2 linked regions of the Tamandua tetradactyla genome follow. The protein of the gene in region 2 interacts with the protein of the main gene of each other region in a pairwise test. Links are inferred from orthologs where the notes say so. Each region holds a gene or a part of one and is shown on either strand. Other genes may lie near its edges.

Evidence for each region.
Region 1: the proteins of LDLRAD1 (region 2) and MALL interact in binary tests that used the Homo sapiens proteins (3 or more experiments, as listed by UniProt). The two-hybrid records come from large-scale screens. The link is inferred for Tamandua tetradactyla from reciprocal best matches to the Homo sapiens genes LDLRAD1 and MALL.

The regions. Positions count from the first base shown.
Region 1 is NC_135343.1:1,889,442-1,896,896, reverse strand, and holds the start of MALL (MAL-like protein), read right to left. Parts: upstream 3,036-7,455; 5' UTR 2,895-3,035; coding exon 2,790-2,894; intron 1-2,789.
Region 2 is NC_135328.1:167,435,346-167,443,378, forward strand, and holds the start of LDLRAD1 (low-density lipoprotein receptor class A domain-containing protein 1), read left to right. Parts: upstream 1-4,983; coding exon 4,984-5,004; intron 5,005-5,558; coding exon 5,559-5,613; intron 5,614-8,033.

The DNA.
Region 1 (7,455 bases), on a different chromosome or scaffold from region 2:
ACCCGCACTTGGGGTGCGGCCACTCCTCGCCTGTTACCAGAGCCCGAGGCTGCGCCGGCCAGCCAGGGGCCACGGCTCTCCACTCCACTCCCTTGTACTTTACTCTCTTGCTCCCACGTGGGGGTTCCCGCCCAGCTGGCTCTCGGGGTGCCGCTGGCACTCACCCTGCGCCAGCTCCAGGTCACTGGCCTTTGCTTCCTGTGCGGCTTCTTCCTGGCCTGACCTCCCAGCTGAGGATCCACGCTCTGCACTCCTGTCTCCAGGAAACACGTTCCTGTCTGAGGCGCCCCCACAGCCGGGGCTGTGTGGCTGGCCCCTCTGCGTGGTGTCCAGAGGCCGGAGGGCCCCTACTCAGGGCCAGTCTGCCTGTCTGTCCTCCTGCCCGGGGCAATGCCCCCTCTCCAGCTGACCTCCATGACTCGTGGTCCCGTAATTCCTGCTAAATTAGGGGGAGCCCGCCCAGACTAAGCCTGCCGAAGTCCTGCAGGGGTACATAGACGCGCGGCAGGGCTGCACAGATAGGCCCCAGTTTCACGGTGTGCTAGCTGAAGCTGTGCTGCACCCCAGAAAAGGCCAGGTGCCTTCTCCTGTGGCGGCAGACCTGTTGTGGGGGAGGGGGGCATTTTGTTTAGGTGGTTTCCATGGAGATGTGACCCACTCTATTCAAGGTAGTTCTTGATCCTTTACGAGGGGATAAAAAGGCAGGAAAGGCTGAGAGTGCTTAGAGGGAAGCCCTGGGGATGCCAGGAGGTCCCACAGGAGCTCAGAGAGGAGGCCACAGAGCCAGGACTGAAGGCAACGAAACCCAGGAGCGGAGGCCGGCAGACGCGCCATGTGCCTTCCTTTCTTCAGAGAAGGTGTCAGCCTGCTGATGCCTTAACTGGGACGTTTTCATGGACTTAGAACTGTAAATTTATAAACTAATAAATCCCTGTTGTAAAAACCAACCCATTTCTGGTATATTGCCTTCTACAGCCCTAGCAAACCAAAACACAGAGAAACTACATTTCTACATCTTCTAAGTTTTCGCCCATGAACGAGGATTGCTCATGAATTAAGAAATGAACAAAACTGTAATGAGAAAATCAAAAAGCTCACACTGAGGGCCATTCTACAAGGCAACCGGTCAGGGCTCTGCAGCAGCGTCAAGGCAAAGAGAGAGGAGGTGTCCTGGATTAACAGGACAGCACAGCACAGCGTGGACGGAATCCTGGACAGGAAACGGACACTGGCAGGAAAACCGGCAAGATTCAGATACGGCTATGGAGGAGCTATGGCGAGGATTTGATATCAGTTTGCTGATTTCTCCAGCTGCCTGTGCAAGACGTGACATCAGGGGAACTCCAGAGGAGCACCCGGGAATGCTCTGCACTATTTCTGCAACTTTGCTGTATACCTAAAGTTATTTTAAAATAAATGAATAAAACTGAACTAGTGACAATGCAAAATACTTAAAGCTCCAAGAGCCCAAATCAGCCAAGCATGTTGCTCCTCGGCATTCGGTGGGATGCTCCCATGAGCACAGCACCCTGGGGGAGGGGGGCGGAGCACGGCAGAGCCCCTGCCCGGGGCTACTCTCTGAGCTGGGCACTGGGACTCTACACCTCCCACCCCCACCTGGGGAGTCCTGTCCGAGTGTCCTCTGTCCAGGCGGGACTGCTGACAGACACCATGTGCCCACAAAGGCTGCGGCGCCCCCTGGCCCGTGTGGGTTCTGGGGGTGGGGTGGGGCGCAGCACACACGCCTACCAGGGCCCTTGCACCAGACGCCCGCGCTGTGTCCGGCCGCCGCCCTCGGGTGGGGTCTCCGCTGGAGTCACCGACAGGCGGCCCGCCCTGCCGGCTTCCCTTCACGTTGACATCACTGCGCGCCCTTTCACCAGTGGCCAGGAGGTCAGTCCCGCCGGGCTGCCTGCCAGGCACCTAAGGCGAGCCAGGCCCAGGCCAGAGGCGGGACCCAGGAGCCGGGCCAAGCTCCCAGCAGGTGGGAAAAGGTCACCCAGAAGCAGAGACTTGGGAAGGCGTTTCCTGTGCTCTCCTTCTGCCCCGTGCATCTCAGCCGGCCTCGGTCTCCCCATCGGGAAAAGGGGCACCGACAGCCGGCTCAGGAGGGGACACTGGGGGCCCGTGCGGAGCCATGCTGCAGACGGGACAGACCAGGTGGGCGGGGCCATGGTGACAGGACCTCACCTGCCCTGGGGAGCTCCTGCCCCCTCTGCGGCAGGGACTGTCACACGCCGCCTGGCGTGGGTGCGCGTTATCAGTCGCCATCCTGACCTCTGAGATGGCCCGAAGACTCCCGGGGGCCTGGACTCCTCTCCGGGCACTCATGCTCGGGGAGGGGGTCCCCGCGGGCCAGTCCAGCCCCACCAGCTTCTGGAGACCCCCAGCCTCTCAGTCCTGTCCCCCCCCACCCCCAGCGGCCCGGCAGCCCGCCCGCCCGCCCCACAGTGGGATTTGTTTTGGAAAGAGGAAATCCACCCGTCCGCGGGGGCGGTGAGCAGCCCCAAGTGGGAGCGGCTGGTTCTGGGGGACAGCGGCGGATCCAGAGCTGGAGGGACCGAAACCACCGGGTGCCGCAGGAGGCGCGACCCTGCCCCAGCCCCCTGCCCTCTGCCCGGGCCCTGACCTCCCCCCGGCCCCTGTCCTCCACTCCTGCCCCAGCCTCCTGCCCTGCCCCAGCCCCCTGCCCTCCAGCCCTGCCTTGGCCTGTGCCCGTGACCCTACCCTGTTCCCCGGCCCATTCCCCTGGCCCAGCTCCTGCCCTGGCCCCCCCGCCCGGCGCTCACCAGCTCCGGCAGGAAGAAGGCGAAGGGGACGGTGGTGAGCAGCGCGATCCCCGAGGGCACCTCGGGCCCCTTGTAGCTGCTGGCGGGCGGGTCCCGGGAGGCCATGCTCGCACCCTGCCTGCGCCTCCCCGCAGTGCGACCGCCCGCCCTCAAATAGCCTCCATCGGCCACACCCCGCGACGTCGCGGGGAGGGCAGAGGCCGCCCGGCCCAGCAGGTCCCGGGGCAGAACTGGGGCGCCCCCTCCCCCCCCCACCCCGCCCCGGGCCGGGCCCAGGGGAGGGACGCCCTGAGGGGGCGGGGCTGGAGGGCACAGGACGGGGGGGGGGGGGGGCGGGTCACCTCGGCGGCCCTCCCCCATGCCCTCACCCCACCCCACTCCCACCCCACCGCACCCCGAGTTCTGGGCGTGGAGTGGCTCCTGAATCGCCGAAGCCCCGCCCCTGCTCCCGCCCCTCCCACCCTGCATCCCCCAGACCCCAGCTGTGGCTGCCCGGAGCCGGGTCCTTCCTGCGCCCCCGCCCCAGGCCGCGCCCCCTTGGGTTGCCCTGTTCCTCCCCCCTGAGAACTGGCTGACCCCAGTTCCCCCGATGCGGGTGCTCAGGCCTTGGGACCCCTCTGCCTGCCCCGCCCAGCTTCGGCTGTCCTGGCCTCGGCTGTCCTGGCGAGGACCAAACGGGGGAGGATTGCAATTTGGCGCTGCCGGCAAGAGGCCTGGAAGCCAGTGAATTCCAGGCTCCGCCCTCCAGGTGAGCCTAGCCCCACCCCACCTGCCACCTGGCCCCGCCTGCCACCTGGCCCCACCTGCTCACAGGATTAACCAGGCCAGGCCGACGTTTCCCAGGAGTCCACCTGTTTCACTGCTTGTGAAACCTGCGCGTGAACCCTCGGTACTCGCTCTGACTTGATGTGCAACCACATAGTGTGCACATCTTAAGGTAAAGAAGGAAAGCCACCTTCTCCAGGGGGCTGCCCTCCTGCGCAGCAGAGAGCTCACACAGGACCAGGGCCCCGGCCACTGCACTCCTGCGCCCATGGGGGTGTAATAGGAAATGGAGACATTGTTAAAACGAGGCTACTAAAATTGGTATGCTTTAAATGTTTACGTCTAACCTGGTAACAACTGATTATACGACTAAGTGCAGCACAGGAGCCAGGCTGCGCACAGGGAAACTAACTGTACTGCTCAGACGCACACAGGTGGGGAGGCCCCAGTAGGGACCGGGCTTAGTGCTCTCGGACCACCTCGGCTTCAGCACTCTATCCCTGGGGCTGTGGGTGTGGCCGCACTTGGAGACAAGGTCAAAGGCCATGTGTAGGCCTTGGGGAAGGGCAGGCCCGAGGGGGGGCCCCTGGACTCCCCCGCACAGGGCCTGCAGGTCCCCCTGCCTGGAGCTGGAGATTAGAGGGTCGTCCTGACACCCACGTAAGCAGTCATTGGCACCGCTGGCTGGAGTTCCCCGTTCTTCACTTGTTAGTTGGAGAGGATTAAATGAGATCTAGGAAAGCATCTGGGACCTGCTGGCTTATGGCAGACACTTCATAAGTACTTGTTTATCTGCTTGGAATCCTGAAACCACTTCTCTTCTGGCGATCGTTCCTTTCTACAGCAAGACCTGCACCTTCTCTGGTTAGTGTTTTCATTCCAATTAAAAAAAATTGTTTTTGTTGATGTATGACACACTCGTTGGAAAAGTGCACGAAACCTACAGACTGTGAAACCACGGTCCTGATCAGAACATGGAACAGTGGCCGTCCCTCCTAACCAGGCCTCCCTCCCCCGGGGGCAGCCGCTCTGACCTCTCACCCCACAGACGGGCTCTGCCTGGGCTGAAGGATCCTGTCTGGGTTCTGTCACGTTTGGCTTCCTCCACCTGCTGCTGGTCTGTGAGGCTCCGCTATGTCGCTGTGCGACGCTGTAGCTCACTGAGTGCTCTCTGGGGCCCCAGTGAAGGAGCCCACTACACTGTATGTATCCACTTTACACTCAGGGACTTTTGGGTTCTTTCTACTTGGGGTAATTATGAATAATGCATAGTACTGCTCAGAGCATGCTACAACATGTATTTGTGTGTGTACGTATGCACTTTTGCTGCGAGTGGAAGTACGGCCACACGGCATGTGTTTTTAGCAATAATGTCAAACTATTTTCCAAAGTAGTCGAACGATTTATATTTCCACCAACAATGTATGCAAGTTATAGTTGCTTATAAACAGTATTTGCATGCAGAATCCCCTTGATGCTTGCGTGGTAGACATTTTTCCATCCTTTTACTTCTCATTTACCTATAGCACTACACTTAGAGCAGCTTGTGTGTGTGTGCGTGCATGATCTAATTTGATTTTTTTAAAAAATCCATTTGAAAATTACTGTTTTACTTGGATGTTTAAATCATTTACAATTAATAAAATTATCTATATGCTTGGATTTACATCTACCATTTTTTGTTTTCTATTTGTTTGCTCTATATTTCATTCCTCTGATCCCTCTTTCTTGCATTCTTTTGGGTTTTCTCAATATTTTTAGTGTTCCATTTAAATTCATCTATTGGGGTTTTTACTTTATCTCATATTATTTTAGAAGTTGCTCTGGGAAGTACAATCTACATAGTTAATTTTGAACAATATACTCAGAATTAATATTTTACCAAAACCTTTCCACCATTAGTCCCTTTACTTTCTTGCCTTTAAGTTTAGCTGTCACGTGTTATATCTACATACATTCAAAACCGACAGTCAGTCTTGCTTTCAGCCCTCACATGTATTTTAAAGAACTTAAGAGAAAAACATAGTCTATTATATTTACCCAAATATTTACTATTTACGTTGCTGTTCTTTGTTCCTAAAGCCCCAGGCTTCTCTCTGGGGTCATCCTCTGCTGTCTGAAGACCCCCCGCAGCGTCTCTGTGAAGCAGGTGTGCTGGTCATGCACTCTTAGTTTTCTGGTCATGCTCTCTCCGTTTTCTTTCATCTGAGAATGTCTTTGTTTCACCTTCACTCCGGAAAGATATTTTTCTGGTGTTTAGAATTCTAGGTTGATAACTTTTCTTTCTTTTTTGTAGACTATGGAATTCTGGGTTGATTTTTTTTCCTTTCAGTACGACTCCTGGCCTCTCTAGTTTCTGATGAGAAATCCACATCATTCAAATGGTTATTCTCTATATGTAATGCATTTTTCTCTGACTGCTCTCAAGGTTTTTTCTCTGTCTTTAGTTTTAACTATTTGATTATGACATAGCCGGGCATGGATTTCATTGAGCTTATCCTGTTTGGTCTTCACTGAGCTTCCTACCTTTGTATCTTTCCCAAAATTGGGGGATTTTTCAGTCATTATTTCTTATAACATTTTTTCTGTGCTACACACTTTTTCTTCCTCTGGGACTCTGACGATATGAATATTAGACCTTTGATACTGCCCCACAGGTTCCTGAGGATCTGTTAATTTTTTTCCAATATACCCCCCTCTGTTATTCAGATTGGAAACGCATACTAATCCATTTTTAAGTTCACTGACTCTTTCCTTATCATCTTTATTTAGTCTATCAACTAAATTTTACAATTTTGGTTAGTATATATTTTCATTTTGGTTCTTTTTTGTACCGTCTGTCTTTCTATTCATTGCAAAGTGTTTGTCCTTACTTCTTAGAGCATAGCTACGAGAGCTGCTTTGATGTCTCGATTCCAACACTTGTATCACCTTCAAGCTGATATCGCTTTCTAAGTGCCCTTTCTCTCAACTCCACATCTTCAACAATTTCAGGCCCTTGTATATAAAACGAAATCAAAGACCCAGAAACCTTTTTTTTCCCTTTTAAATCAGTGACCTCATGGATTTTGTTTTACAACTTATGGAAAATGGTGTGATGATACTGCTGGTAAAACAGGAGGTTGGCAGCAGACAGACCTCCTCAAACAGGCAAGTTAAAGGGAACTGCCAGCTGTTAGTACCTGTGAAACGAGAAGAATTTGGTATATCGGAGGCTCCAGAAGCGCCCTACTGCCCGGACAAGCACTTGCTACATGAAGTTTAGGCTGTAAAAACACCACTCCTGAGCTGTCTCTCATCTAGATTTTAGCACCGTTTTTTTTTTTTTTCCATTTTGCTTTTTATGGACTGAAGTATATAAAAGAACCAGGGTCCAGAGGCAGGTGACGTAGTCCTTAACCTTGCTGAAATCCTTAAGTTCTTCATTCATAAACTTCACTTAAAGGACCAAAATTTCCAGCCCTCTTTTATAAAGATTCCTGCCCACATCCCTGATGGCAAAGACTCTCACTTCCCCATGGGTGACAGAGACTCGGGCCTGGATGGGACGGGGTGCAGATGGCTGCCCGCACACCTGGTCACACAGCCCCCCAGCTGCTGCTGCACCTGAAATTCCTTACTCCCTGCATCCATTGAGTCTTTGGCTTTGTCACAGCAATGCATGGTGCACTGGGTCAAGTGGTCCTGAAAATTCTCCAATTCATGGTCACCAGGACTTGGGCGAGAGCCGGAGGCGCATGGCAGTGCTCAGTGCACTGATGCACTTGCTGCATGGATGCCTGGCTGTCCTGGCAACAGCTGCGTTGCACCAGAATATGAAGCCCTGCATCTTCCGGATATTCTCTCTCCATGCTCTTCCCCATGGAGTCCCCTGCCCCCGGCAGGTGCTCGGAGCTGCTGC
Region 2 (8,033 bases):
TGGAGCACTCTGTAATCACATACTCAGCTGAGTCCCACTACCACCACCACATCAAGACAATGGTTTTGCATGGATATCCTATCGATCCACAGTTGACCCATTTAGCAACCACTTGAGAGCGTAAACACCAGGCCTTATGGTAGGTGATAATTTGCAACAACAAGCAACACCCAGAGCCTGACTCCAGGTTGCTCAAAGAAGGAGACAGACTATTCAGGTAATAAGTGCTATGACCAAATAAGCACAGAGCGTTGGGGAGCATGTAGCAGGGCCCCTAACTTTTGAAAGTGATATCCAAACTTAAAGCTGGTAGAAAAAGAAAAGACAGACAAAATACAGGGAGCAGTGTTCCAGGCAGTAGAGACAGTAGGCTCATGACACAGTGGTAAAAGGGTGGGGAGTTGCAAATTGTTTAGTAGGCTGAGATGTAAAATGCTAAAGCATGGCAATAGTTGGATTGGAGGGACCAGATAATAAAGGAACTTATTAAGCCTAAAATTGATCTTGAGCACAATAGGAGCCATTGAAAGCCTTTAAGCAAGAAAGATAAGTGTTTTAGAATGGCTCATTCAGACAACAATGAGGAGGATAGAAAAGAGGAAGAAGGTCTAAAGGCCAACAATATCAACCTTTAGGATCCATTAAATTATGTAGTCATCCAGTCTGTACCCTCTTGCAGAACCACATTGAAAGTAGCAAGAGAAGAACCTGCTCTAAATGGGAAATTCTATTCCCTTATCAAGTTTTTTTTTCTCATTCCCATTAATCCTATTTCCTTTCATTTTACTTCATTTTTATTTTTGAACGCTTATCTATATATATGGCTCTCTGTTCCCTCTCATTGTTGTTTTGGTGGTAACCCTAGAATTGGTCTAAGGGCACTGGTCAATATCTAAGTGATGCCAAGCAAACTGGGAAGGCTTCTCCATTGATACCAAGTTCCTTCATGTGGGGCTATATTTTTAAAACTACAATGCTAAGGCAATTTGACACCATCCACTAATTCACCCCCCCACCAGGTTTCTAGTTGCTAAGACTGTCATATTTGCATTTGAGATCATCAGTATGAGTAACCTTTTTCATCTTTCTTTTTTTGACCTCTGTTCTAATTAGAGCCTGGGTGTGGGGGTATATCCAGGTAGCCTGTGGGAGATTAGTTGTACAATTAGTATGGATTTTCGGACGTCTTGCAGTAATTAAATTCTGAAGCACAGTATATATCCCTTTTCTGAAATCTGTATTGTTGAGACCAGGTACATGTATTTCACTATAAATACATGTACCAGGTGATGTTAGTGACTTCTTTGTTTAGAGCAAGGATTCTTAATTTTTTTTGTGTGCCATGGACCTTTTTGGTGGCATCTGGTGTAGCCCATGAACATTCTCAGAATATTGTTTTCAATTGCATAAAGTTAAATATGAAGGACTGCAAAGGAAGCTAATTATATTAAAATACAGTTATCAAAATATTTAAAATTTTTTGTTAAACAGTCATATATATACTTTTATACACATAAAATAAAATATAGTGGTAGGTCCAGAACTACTAAAGTTTTGAAGCAATTTCAAGGTAATGTTTTGAAATCACCAACTGAAATATGATTATCAAAATATTTATGATTTCTATTGGTGATAAAGTCACAGGTAGTGCTAAAAATATTGTGGCTTGTTGACTAAATTCATAATGGAAGGAAATGCTGTATTTCAGTTAGAAATTAATGAAAATAAAGATTTAACTTTTTCCATACAAATTTACAGAACCCATGCTTTAGAGGTTGTTTAATATTCCTTTGTCATTTTAAGAGTAAATTATTTTTGTTTGTTCATTTCTATATTATTTGGGCTTAATTTTACTGCCTCTTGTGTGCTTTTTTATGCTTGAATTGTTTTTGCAATGTTGGAACAGCAATTATTGAACGGCTTGGGTGCAAAAAAATCAGCAACTGATTAGAAATGAGAAGTTTCACAAAAGCTCTTAATGTTACCTCAAGATATAACATCATGTAGTCATTACTGGAAAATCAAATCTGTTAAATTCATAATGCTTACACATGGTAAACTTGAATAAAATTTGAATCATCTGCATTAAACAATATTATAATGTTATCTTGTAAAAGTGTCTACCTAGATAATTCTCAGTGGAGTTTGTTGATTCCCCATGACATTTGCAAAATTTTTCATAGTACTCTCACATATCACCTTAAATGGATCCTTAAAACATTTCTCCAGAAAGGCAGGATGGGGTTTAACTTCTCCATTTTACAGTTGAAGAAACAGTCTTGGAGAAGAAAAGTGGTCAGCGGGGAACCCAGAGTTATGGAAGGCACATGGGAGGAGTGATAAGTGCCAAGTCAAGCACTGAGCCTCGCCTCTAGGCAGTTCTAGAAGTAGATCTCTCAGGTCCCAGGGTCAATCTGTTTGAGTGCCCACTTAGCATTGTCCAGCCTGGAGCTGGTTCCTGGATTAAAAAGTAGCCCCAGCCCTCAAGAAGATCTCCCTGTAATTGGAAATAGATTAGAACATTCAGAAACAATATTGCACACCTAAAGGGAGTAGAGCACCTTCATGTATGTGCACTCTTCATCTTTGCTTGTGCTCTGCGAGGTGGAGCTTCTTATTCCCATTCTTCAGACGAGGAAGCTGAGGCTTAGGGAGAGTCTCCCTTACCCTCTCGAATTAGATAGGTATCAATTTGCAGTCAGGATGAAAATCCAGGTCTGTCTGATTCAAGCTGGGGTTTGCTGATATCACATCCAGTGGGTCTCCCCTAGCCACACCCATTTTAAGATGGGGGCACAGACCATAAGGAATGTAGGGAAAAGTAAATCCAGGGAAGGAGGGAGGGCCAAAGAAGGCTTCATGTAAGGAATGAGGTTTTACCTGGTCCTAGACAAGAAAGATGGTTGAATTTAGAAAAAGAACTAACAGAAGTCACCCTAAACAAGGACAAGCCACACACTGGGAGGAGATATTTATAAACCATGTAACAAAGGATTCAAAATCTAGCTTAAAGAAGTCCATCAAAAAGACAAACTACCCATAGAAAAAATGGGCAACAAATTTGAAAAGCAATTTACCAAGGAGGAAATCCATATGACCAGTAAATAAAAAGACAGCATAATAGTGTAGGACAGGGCTTCTCAAATTTTAATATGCATTTTAGAATCACCTGGAGGTCTTATTAAGCTGCAGGTTCTGATTTTGTAGGTTTGGGGTATGGCCCGAGATTCTGCATTTGTAACAGGGTCTCACTCAGATGATGCAGATGCTGCTGGTCCATGGACCACACTTTTGATAGAGAACAATTCAGCCAGCCCAGATCTGAATCCTCACTTTGCCACTTAGCAGCTGTGGAGCTCGGGCAAGTAACTTCTCTGTGCCTCAATTTCCTCATCTGTAAATGGTCCTTATTACCTATATTTGGGAGGATTGAATGTATTAATATATGTAAAGCATGTGGTACAACACATGGCAGAAATAAGTGCTCAGTAAATGTTAGCAATTGGTGGTAGTAGTGGGAATAACTAGAGAAAGGCAAATTAGACTGACCAGACTGGCAGATGTCAGAAAATCTGACAATTTCAGGTGCTGGTGAGGCTGTGGGGAGGCAGGAACTCTCTCACTTTGCTTATGGGAGTGCAAAGTGGTACAGTCACATTGAAGAGCAGTTTGGCAGTATCTGGTAAAAGTGAAGATGCCCGTACAGTGTGATTCTAGATGTGTGTTAAAGATCAGGCTAAGGAAAGAGACATACACTAAGATGATATTTATGTAAATGTTGAACAACACAAAGGTGATACTGGATATTTTAATGCAAATATACATACGTAGTTAAAGTATAAAAATCAGTCACTTAGAAGCATACGCGGGCAAATTTAGGAGACTTACTGACTCTGGGGAGGGAGGGGAGGCAAATAGCACTGGGAAGATAGAGACCTTCAATTTTGCTGTACTGAATAGAAAAAATACTAGAAAATAGCAGAAGTAAAAATGACTAAATGTGAACATTTGTTAGCTCTGGGTAGTGGACATACAATTACTTGTTACATTATTCTTCCTACTTTTCTGTATTTTTCTTAAGTTTTGAAAGTTTTATGCTGAAAAAATATTAAAGGGGGGAGAGGTTGGAGCAAGTGAAGAAAGTGGGCTTGGCAGGTGTTGGACAAATAGAACAGAGGCTCACCTGTGAGGCACTGGCTTTCTTCTGAGATAAGTGGAAAAGTTTAGAGAGGTAGATAGGGAAGCTGAAACTCAGAAAAGTTAGTGACCTATTATCCCAGGTCACAAAGCTAGTACTGCCAGTTCCAAAGCCAGCGCTCTTGCTACAAGTTTCTCAGACCTGGGATTATTCAGGTGAGCAACCTGCCCCTCACCATGCCACTTCCCACCTCAAGCACCATCTCAGAAAAAATAAAAATGCACATTGCTACTTTCTAAAGAAAAATAATTTTAAAATTACATTTCCATTATTGAGTCCAATGGGAAAATGAGTATTCTTTCAACTTAGATTTACCTACTTAATTAAAAAAAGAAAATGAAAAATGACTCTCTGCTTTTTACCCACCAAAAGGTTAATTCTGGCTGTTTCTGCTTGCATCTTATGCAGCTGGAGGACTGAGAGCCTCCCGTTTCATCACTGATATAAAGGAGATAGCTCATCTTGAAAAGTTCCTGGGTTCAAATCTCACCTCTCCCAACTACTGTGTGACCTATGGGCACCTTCTTCCTCTCTGAACTTCAGGCCCTTCTTCCATAAAATGGCTACAGAGTGGGGAAGGGGCCCTCCTACCCTTTCCTTTGCCTGGAGGAAGTTGAGCACAGCCATGAGGGGCTGGAAGAGAACTGCAGGGTAGCCTGCAAGGGAGGGTGTGGCCTGGGGTGAGACTTCTCATCCTCCCTCCCCCAGGCTGCCCTGGTGACAAAACAGGGAGCCTACCCTGAGTCCACTCTAGTCCCTAGAGACTGGAGCTGGGAGTCCGAGACATGAACAAGATCTTCCCCCAGGTAAGTGCTGCTCTGACCTGATCTCGGGAGCAAACCCTGGTGTGAGGCGTGGGCAGTGAAAAAGGAAGATGTTAAGACTGCCTGCGGGAGCCACTGAGGTAAACCTGCTCTTAGGTAGGGTTTCACTCCCAGCAGGTGAATCACCTACACAGCTCAGGGGCAAGTGCTGGGAGGGAGCCAGAGGAGCCAGATGGACAGGAGGCTAGAGGAAAAGTGTGAGCTACATTATCAGAGGGGGCAGCAGAGAAAGTCTCACTGAGGAGGAGCCACCTGAGCTGGTTTGGGGATGAGCGTTTGCCAAGCAGACAGTAGAGGAAAAGGCATTCTAGACAAAGGTATCCTATAGGCAAAGGTGTGGAAATATGAAGTAGGCACGATGTGTTTGAAGAGCTCAGCATGCTGAAGTGTCAGGGAGCAGTGGTTCTATCTGAGATGGGGGCCAAAAGACTGATCTACTCTCGGGCCCTCAGTCTCCCCTTCTGAAAAACACTGAGGTCTGACTGCCCGAGGCTGGGCCTATGCTAAGCCAGGCCTCACTCTGTTCTCTTGAGCAGGGAGATGTCAATGGCAATGCAGCTGCTGGAAGCAAAGCCCTCTCTGAAGGGGAAGGTAATGGACTGGAGCGATGGACTGCGATTCCCCTGAGACTGGGCAGCTGACTACAAAGAGGTTCCCCCAAAGGTCCTACTGTCCCCCAGACCTCTACCCTCCATGTTTACGTCTACTCTCAGCTTCCTGGCTGGTCACGCTGACAGCCACTGACATAATAGCATCGGTCATTCTCTCCACTCACAAGCATTTACTGAGTACCTACTGTGTGCTGCCTACCTCACAGGCACTGCACCATTTACAGGACCCACCTGTATTTCAGAGAAACGAGCTCCAAAGTCAAATCCAATAATTTCCCTGGGAAATTATTTTTACCTCCGAGGGATCACATACATCTGTATCATCTATGTGCCACTGACTCACTGTGCAACCAAGACAGTTCTCTTTATCTTTATGAGATAAAGGAAGGAGGGATCCCACATTTATTGCCCATCAACTCTATGCTCCTCTTGACCCATATTTATTAGATCAGTGAAGAAAAGACCCAGAGAAGTAGAGAATAATAATAATAATAGCTAGAAAGGGTCGGATCCCTACTATGTGCCTGGTACTGCATGGTCTCTTTTCATCCTCGGGACAGTTCTGAGAGGGGGTCCTTGTTAATGGTGCAGTAACAGATGATGCAGCTGGGACTCAGGGAGGTTAAGTAACCTGGCCAAGGTCACAGAGTTGGTAGGTGGGAGAGGCAGGATTCGAATCCAGATTGGGGGTCTGTGTGATTGCAAAGCCCTAGTGCCTTCCATTGCTCCACACTGATGTTTATTTCCAAGTCCTGACTGGTGGTGGGGGTGATTGTAGGGCAATGGCCTCCTTTGCCCCATCTGTCCAGGGAGGAAAATCGACATTTGAGAGCCTTTCCAGCTTTGAAATGGAGCTGAAATCGTCACTTGATTCTGTCGCCTCTCCCTTGAGTCTCTTGCTAACCTTGCACATGGACTCTGCTGCACAAATATTTGAGGAGTGGCTGCTTGGCCATCTAGAACGCCTCTCCTTGCCAGGCTTCACACTGTCTCCCTGGTTATCTGAGTTTACCCTGTGTTTGCCAACAACAAGGGAGCCCTGACTAGGCTCAAGGGATGACTAGTTTTAGATTTATGCTTCATTTTCTACTACTGTCTCCTCTCCCAATACACACCAACCACACGGGGTCCGCCACTGCCCCCACATACCTTTCATGAGACCTTCACTTCTTCTGTACTTCTCTGCCTGGAATGACCTCCCTTTGCACCCTATACCCTCATCTATGTGAAAAAGCCCCCGTTCCCCAGGCCCCTCCATTGAGCTCACACAGCACCTCGCCTAACCACACTTACTACCTGCCACTGTAAGCTGCCAGTGTGCTAGGTATGGGTCTAACTTGTCAGTGAGTGCAGAGTAGGCAGCTCCAAAAATACATGTGTATTGGATGGAAATGGCCTGAGCTGACATGAATTGGGGGCCTACCCTAGACTCCTGGACCTCTGTGGCAAGCCTTGCCCTTCTTCTTTCAAAAATACTCACAAATCACCTACTATGTGCCTGCCTCTGGGCTGTACTCTGGGGATACAGAGATGAACCAGAACCATTCCTGTCCATTTCTCTGAGATAGCCGAGGCCTGAAACATGGTAGTTGTGCCCACATTCTCCTTTTTATATGCCTGTGCCTTGTCTTCTACGTGCATCTCCTAAGGGCCAGATTCTCTGCTTCTTTGGTGCCCCTTGCAGAGTAGGACAGCCAGTATGGTCCTCAATAAAGCTTTATTTCATTATTTCATAAGCAAGCAAGAAGTAAAGGACCAGAGATAGCGCTTATCACTGCTATTTCCACAATGCTTGGACTAGAGCTTAGCACATAGTAGGTGCTCAATAAACACTAAGAATAGCTAAAACCTTCATAGCACTTACTAGGTGCCAAGCACTGTTCCATTGACTAACAACCTTCTCGACAACTCTGTAGGGTAGGTATTCTACCTAGAAAATGAGGACACTGAGGCCCTGGAGAAGTGAAGTGACTTTCCCAGGGTGACCCAGCTAGCAAGTGGCAGAGCTGGGATTCCAATCAGTGTTTTCTGGCTGACTCCAGAATGGACAGTCAGAGTCATGGAAAGGGCAAGGGTTTGGTATCAAACAGACATGGACTAACATCCCAGCTCACACCGGTGACCTGGAGCAAGTCACTTCTCCAAGTCTCAGTTTCCTCATCTATAAAATAAAGAGCTATTATAAAAAATAAAAATAACAACTTTGAAGGGCCGAATGCAGTTTCTGCCCCATGGTAGGTGTCCATCTGTCCCTCGTTCTAAGGAGACAGACTCACGGAAGGATAGGAAAGGTGTGGGCTGGGGGATAGAGAACTGGATCTTCATCCCAACTTTGCCGCTCACCAGCTACGGGACCCAGGCTAGGAATGGGCTTTTGGTGGGCAGTGGGCTCCCAGGCAG